Linked DNA regions of Drosophila melanogaster. The protein of the gene in region 1 interacts with the protein of each later gene in a pairwise test. Each region holds a gene or a part of one and is shown on either strand. Other genes may lie near its edges.

Region 1 (3,040 bases):
ACTCACTCCTATAAAGCCGAATAAAATGGATGGGTCGTCTCAGCTTGAGGACATTCAAAGTAAATAATTTATAATGGCAAGCTCGATGAAGCACGAAACATTTTAAATGGAAGAGCTGTCGAGCGAAATCTGGCGTGTCAAAGAAAGCTATGCATAAAAAGCACATTCAAATATAATAAAGGGTAAGCTTAGTGTTGAATACGCCTTCCAAATTTTCAGCTAAAAGGCAACATATTTCAGGCTAAGAAAGACCCATAAAAGCAGGCAACAAAGAGCCAGAAAAAAAAGTGGCTCCACTTAAAATTAAAATCACGCATACGCAACGTGCAACGCAAAGTGCCAAAGTCAGCTAAAAAAGAAAGGAAATCGCTTTCAATACGTTTGCCACACATAAATCAGAGTTAGAGGGCCGCCGATAAAGGAGCTTCTGACAAAACTCTTGACAAATAGATTCAACGCAAAAGGGCAATTAATAACCGACCGTGATATAAGGACCCTCTTCCAGGACCTCCTAAATTCGGTCACTGTTTAGCGGAGTGAAATGATTCATTTGTCAATTTAGCTGGGTCAGTTAGCCAGCCAAGTAGTTGTAAAAGGTTGGCTGCGTAGCAGATGTTGGATTCTTTGGATTTAACTGGCAGACCTTTTCAGACTTAAACGAAAATAAATGGATAGAGCTTGTTCCCTGTAATTATATTTACTTATATAGAAGGCCACATATCCCGAAAATAACTTCGTCTTGGCCTTGAAAATAATCGTTCGTAGAATTCGCTTTCAAAGCGTTCCGCCTTACATTAATATGGTTTCAATATCATGACCCCCTACTGCAACTCCTTAGCAGTTTCGCCTTCACATGTCAAACACTTCGAGGGTGGTGTCCTCATTTCTCGCATAGGCCACCACATACGCATTACGCATACGCAGCGTGAGCACTAAGCTTTAAGCCAACGGAAACGCTTTGTAATCCAGAAAATTGCAGCTGCAACCTTTGGTTAGTCGTATTGCCAAATGAGCCAGAGCTATTGTAATTAATCAGAAATCCGACTCAATTCGCTGAGTTATTTTTATCACAGAATGGTGGACGATAAAAATGCAAACTTTCCTCTCCATTTGCAAATTTATTTGTCCTTTGGGAAGAACAAGTCTCGCTGCAAATAGTATCTATTTATGGAAATCCTCGGGAGAGTAATGACTGGAAAATTATGCCACTGACGTCAAAAGGGAAAGACGAAACTTTTTGCCCACTCAAAAGGTCAAAGTCAAGACTCCAAATCAACTACTTGGCACTCATCAAATTCTAGTTTTCTGCGACTTGTTATTACAATTTGGCAAAAAAAAAAATAAAAAACTATCATCAACTTTGGCGTCATGCTAAACCAGAGCAACAAGTTGCTATAAATGGTCATCACTGGGTTTACTGCTCGAGTTCAATGTTTCCAGCCAAATTCAGATGAAAGAGCAAAGAAAAACGAATTGTTTTGAATTGAGTTCATAGCCATTGGATGGCATTGATTGTTGTTTTTTTGCTTGGGGTCACAGAGAAAATATGGAAATTGTGATACGATTTTATGGCGTTCTGATGAAGCTTGTCTTTATTTGGCCATTTCGATGATTTGTGAGCAAAGATAATAATCTGCGAATGGCTAACTCCATTAAATTGCTATAAATACTTAAAAGGATACCAATGATGCATTTATATATTTATGTAGATTTAAAGGAACTTTGTTTTTCAGATTATTTTTATAGCACAGCAGGCTTTGAATAGGATATCTGCCTGATTTCTACAGTATACCTTACTGTACTACATAAGACAATACAAAATACTTTCAAAATTAGTAAGATTTCTATTTGAACTCTGATCAAGTTCCGTACTTGCAGCTGAATTCTTTGATGGCTTCCATGGAGCTGACCCTGAAATCGGACTATTCCGCCGATTCTGTTATCGATGACATTATATCCAAGTCGCTGGCATCCCAGGCAGTTCCAAGGACACACAAGAGATCAACTCGCGTCTCCTTTCGATCCCTGGCCAAAGTTATAATGACTCTGATCGGAAACCTCAAGAAGGCATCATCATTTCATGAGGTGAAGGACATAGACTACTGGCGTAATCTGGCCGAGTCCCGTTTGGAGGTCAACAATCGCTATGGGAGGTTTATCGAAGCCCAGCAAAGGCGAATCTATACCCTGGAGACCAGGCTCCACAACCTGGTCAATTTGGCCCGCGAGACCCAGAAAATGCTGGCCGAGATTGGGGCCGAGAAGCGGGCCTGCGAGGAACTTGGCCATGGCGAGCACGCCGACTAGATTTAGCATAATTTAATACTTTCCGTCTTTCATAAACCAATGGTTTATACTAAATAGTTGGTATGTGAGTTAAATATATACAAATTGAAAATCAAGCGCAGTTTTGCTAGAATATTTGAGCAACTTGGGTTACTAAGTTGAGTGACAATTTTCCTACTTTCCTCTATTGCAGTCTCTCTGCAAATTTAATTTGCTTTTATAATCTCCTCCATAATCACTCAAGCCTAACCATTATTTGGTTTTATTCTGTTTTCTGTTTGTTTTGGGCGATAGTAGAGCGGCGATTTCTTTAATCTTCAGTTGGGTCTTCGTGTTTTTCCCACTTCTCCATGGTCTGGGTGTGTGCAGTCTTCCAGGTGAATGATTTTCACATCGAAAGAGCTCCTAACTGCATAATTTAGTAATTGGAACGTATCAAATTTAGTTTTCTCCCATAGAGCATGCAAGAAAATGCGAAGAGGCGATTGGACCAAACTTTATCATTTATTGCAATCTGTTTCGTGTTTTCCGTTTCTTTTGCTGCCTTACAAATCAGAGTTTATTTTTTTTTTTTGGGCGCCACTCCCAGAATCAAAAAAACACCAAAAAACAACAGAATTCAATTAAAAGTCTCTGCACGCCATTCGAAACCAAAAATATTGACATATGCCCCTTCCGTCGGCTGGCTGAAAAACAAGCCAACAATGTGACCATTGAACTCGAACCCAGATAGAAAATAGATATTGTTTATGCC
Region 2 (4,953 bases), 1.5 Mb from region 1:
GGGGAACGCTCCAGGCTAAGATTAAGCAACTGAAAAGGACCCTTAGAAGATTGCAAAAAGGTGTGGGCTCCACGGAGGTCTATACGAATACGCTGGACGAGCTCAAGCAGAAAGTAAGTGGATTTACTGAACTGGGATCTTTATAGCTGAGCAATCCATTTCCAGTACCCCATCAAAAACAAGACGCTGCTTTTGCAATCCGCTGGAGCCCTACTCTTCGTCATTGTTTGCTTCTTCATCCAATCCGTGCCGCACTGGAGGACATTACCCCTGGGTTGGGTGGCCCTGCTGGGTGTGATCCTGCTGCTGATCATCCTCAATCGCGATGACATGGAGCACTTGATGCACCGCATCGAGTGGACCACGCTGCTCTTCTTCGCCGCCATGTTCGTGATGATGGAATGCGTGGAGAGATTGGGAATCTTCGCCTGCATCAGTGAGCTCACCGAGCACGTTATCCTTTCGGTGGGAAAGAGTCATCGTCTGGCCATGGCCATCTTTATGATATTATGGATGTCGGCGCTGGCATCATCCATATTGGATAGTATTCCGGTGGCAGCCATAATGGTGAAGCTGGTGACCTCTCTGGTGGCCAAGCCATCGCTGGGACTGCCCCTCCAGCCACTGGTTTGGGCTCTGACCCTGGGCGCTTCGATGGGCGGAAATGGAACGCTCTATGGCGCATCAGCCAATGTCATTGCAGCCGGAATTGCCGAGCAACATGGCTATAAGTTGTCCTTCACCCGATATCTGAGAACAGTTTTTCCCATGATGCTGGGACAGATCACCCTGATGACTGTCTATCTACTGGTGGCGCATGTGGTCTTTGAATGGCATTGAGACTCCCTATTTAATACACATACTGAATAACATATTATTGTATCTAATGATGGAAAATGTTTTTCACTTCGAATCTAATCGTGTGTTTTTTTGTGTGAGTTTTACTGTAGTCTTTGTCCTTTTACATTCGCCTCTTGATGTGTTTCATGTGTTTTTGGCATATAAAATAAGAATATTTATATTTAAGCGTTCATTTGTGATTGGCAAATGTATAAAAATATACCATAAATATAAAAGTACACATGGTTTTTCGTTCGCCTTCGTGGAATTTGGCTGGACTGATGGAAATCACTTTTGGTAGTCCATCAAGGCGGTGTTTTTAATGTCGTGTGAAATGTTATAAATTTAGACTTTATTGTCTAAGGTCGAAGTGGGGAAATCGTGAAAATTCAACAGGCCATAAATACAAAACGAAGGAAAATTATAGATTTGATTTTCAAATTTCAATAAGAGGCAGTTCTACAAGTATTTAGATACATTTAAAATTCGAAGCGATGTCTGTATTTTAGAGATTTCAAAGCACAATATAAACATATAATAAGTTAAATTATAAATATCATAATTCTCGTGTTTTCTAGTTTATCCCATATGCACCTTGGTTTGGAAAACATAAACAAACGTAAATAATTCCTGAGACTGACCATTGCCAAGTTCAATGTTGACCAGAATATCCGCATATGAAAGTGCTTGCATGTACATATACATATATATTAAAAGCGAGTATATAGCATATAGTATATGGAAAGAAGACAACTGCTGGTCAATAAATGAGAATAAGACAATGTGGAAAAGCAGCGAGGGATTTCCTCGGGTGGTTGTTGCTATTTATTTGCTCTGCTACTGCTGCGCTTTCCACACTTTCCACAGCGCTCGTTCCATAGGTAAATTGTATTTTAAGTTCACAAACAAATGGCCACGAGGGATTGCGAATGGAGGAGGTGAAACGGAGGACCCGACCTGTCCGCCATGTGGAGAGGAGACTGCCAGCAGTTTTATGGCAGCCGCGAGAGGGAAAGTCGTGCCGACAACGACTGACTGAATTTTAATTAATTTGCGCCAAGGAATAAAGTGAAAATTGGAAATTGGCTTATTTGGCCCAGACTGGCCGCCCTGCAGGCCAAATAAAAATGTGATAAGCGTACGAAATTACGCCGAAATCGAGTTGGTTTTTTTTTTTGTAAGGTGAACCAAGATGACATCTCCCTATGGATACAGTAAGCCCACCTTTATGATAACGGACCACACTCGCGATCCGTATCATCTGCAGCCGGGTGATGACGACGACGATCGGGATGAGGATGAGGAGCGTCAGACGAAGCTGCAGGAGATCATCAGTTGGCTGCACTTGAATGCCAAGCATCGCAGCAAATGGTAAGTCGGCCGCATCAAGTATACGCCGCGGGTGGCCCATGCAAGTCAGCTTATATTGATATTAAGTATACGCCCGGTTGGCCACCGCCACTCGAAGTTTGAGTTGTTTATTTGCCCGGTTCCGTTTTCTCATTAGCCTGGCATTAAATTGTGCTGCAGGAGATGATGGACCCAAAACTTTTCCTTTTAATGTCCTGCTAAGCTTCTTAATAACGGTCCATTGGTTGCGACTTGTTTGTTTTCCGAGATGAAATCAACTCGAGGACATTTTGTGGATTTTAAGCCGCTGAGAGCCGCAACAGATGGTTTCCATTGAGATTGATTACAATTTATTTGTTTTTTAGTTGAAGCAGACACAGCAGTTTGTATATTTCATACTCCATATGCGTTGGAATTCCAGCAGAGTAATAAATGCGCTTTTCTTCGAAACTCTGATTGAAATGATACTCCTAATCCGAATTAATCATGTTTTTGTTTTGTTAGGGATTTTTTCCATTAGCTTGTGGTTATAACAAAATGCCAGGCACGAAGGTATTGTTGTATGCAATTTGTGTGAATAATTCGAAGAATAGTTGGCATATACCCATTTCCAATCCAAGCCAATCTTTTGTTCGAGCAATTCGCTTCTGGGAACTACCATTCGATATAGGTTGCTTATAATCGATAATGTAATACCTTGGACACGTGCAAAATAAACTGAAGTACGCAGTGCAATGTGGAGATTATAAATAAACAATGGGGAATAAATATTGACTTGCGTTGCATTATATTATTTTATTTATAGTTCTCTATTTCCGTTGGCAAATACGTGGTTCAGCAGCCTCCGCAGCTGTTTGTAGGTTTTTTTGTATTAAGTTAAGCATTCGAATTAAGTGTCGTATTCAAATTAGTGCACTCACTCCCACACAAAAATTATCGGTGTAGTGAAAACCTAGGGTAATGCGAATTACATACGCAGTTGGTCCTCAATTAAAAGTTCCGCCTTGTTAATTAACAATTAAAGGGAAAACTCGAGACGGTAAATCACTGAGTTCTCTGGTTTATAGCGCAGTTACACTTGGTTGCAATAGAGAAGGCTGCTCATAAATATACAGGGTGTGTGGAGTCGACTTACATACTTGGGAGCATTATAAAGCATTCATAAACAACGAATAATAAACAACAAAATATGTACAATAAGCAACAGAATTTCATACAGAAAATGATATATTTATATAAACTTAACGATTTTTCTTATAACTAGTTTCCGGGACACCCTGTTTCCATTTGACATATTCTTGACAATCAAACCTGAAGTGAGCTTAGCTTATTATATAAGCGCTCGTTATTTACATAATTATTGTTTATTTACTCACGCTGAGCATTTGTTGTATACATCTACGTCTTGACCATGTGTAGAATCCACTAAGTACTGTATGCATATTGGTTGCAATTAATTTGCATTTTTGCATTGGCTGATACCAAGTAATTACAGCTAACACATCGATAATTGCCGTTGGCCAATTGGCAAAGTTTATGGATACTAAAGAAAAGAGGGAAGGGTTAAATACAGTTGGGATTATGGGCTATAAGTTATTCGCACTGACAGCTAAACACTTTGATGTGGCTGCCCATTTTTACGCTGACTTTCTGACAAGCAAATGAAAAGTCATTCAGTAGTTTCAAGTCCACCCAGAACCACGTGATCCCTCCACGGAACATGCAACCCAAGTTTGGTGGTCCCACGATGACATACATATATGTATGTAGAGATATGTGTGGAAACTTGTCAATGGTTTGTTGGGTGGGTAGCTTGGTGGCATGAAGGAGGTGCGAATAACTATCCCTGTACATGAGGGTTTTCCGCTCACAATTTTCCAACAAACTGTAAATACACTTTTTCTGGTTGCCAAGGGATGAGCTTAGGGGCTGTAAAAGTTCCGGCTTGAATTTGGAATGTACTATGTGTCTCTATGGGGGCCAACCTTTGAGGCACAATTGAGTGGAAATGAATTATGTATTAGTTGTTATTATGAAATGGAATGTACTCAATAGCTTGGCTTATGTGGTATTACAGTTTTCAACCAACTATATTAATGTATTAAGAACGGAAATGTTAAGAGAAAGTAACTGCTGATAGCATTTAACCCATATAACTCCGAATCAACTGCACCCATGCCCCATATTATTCAGATGGATAAGCCGCAGAGACCTTGGGCGAAGATACAATTGTTATTGGAAGAAACACACCTATTGCGTCTCACTGTGGATATCATCAGCGTTATTATTACTATTATTGCCATCGTCTTATTGAATGTGGGTGAGGAAAATTGCGGAATAAAAGAGCATTAATATTCCAGCTTTAAAGTCGCTCAAATGTCAAACGGCTCGTGGCGAGAAATAATATATATATACACGAGTTCACTTTGAGTTCCTTGGAGTGTGTTTGCGTTTCATTGTCCGTGGCATTAGGGTTTTTGGGATTCGGATTGGGTCTCGCATTTGGATTGAGTTGGGGCACAGCAGAAGCTGTTTGCTGATAAACTCGCCTTTTGTCTGCCCATACAGAAGATACAAAAACGTACGAGAATGTGGCACACAAACCACACATGCAAATGGAACCGCGCGTGGACGTCTATATTGTCGGAATTGGAAGCTTCAGTGGGATTTATCAACTTTGGCCTATAAATAAACAAGCGGACGGCCTTAAATTTGATAAAGCTGCCTTTTTCTGCAGATTTCACTTTCGTTTCTGAGAAAGCC

Evidence for each region.
Region 2: the proteins of CG8840 (region 1) and hoe1 interact in a two-hybrid assay, tested with the Drosophila melanogaster proteins (one large-scale study listed by BioGRID).

The regions. Positions count from the first base shown.
Region 1 is NT_033779.5:3,408,800-3,411,839, forward strand, and holds CG8840 (uncharacterized protein), read left to right. Parts: upstream 1-1,760; 5' UTR 1,761-1,890; coding exon 1,891-2,307; 3' UTR 2,308-2,400; downstream 2,401-3,040.
Region 2 is NT_033779.5:4,929,172-4,934,124, reverse strand, and holds the start of hoe1 (hoepel1), read left to right. Parts: upstream 1-1,740; 5' UTR 1,741-2,032; coding exon 2,033-2,211; intron 2,212-4,953. Other genes in the region: hoe2 (hoepel2), read left to right, coding at 1-113, 166-840.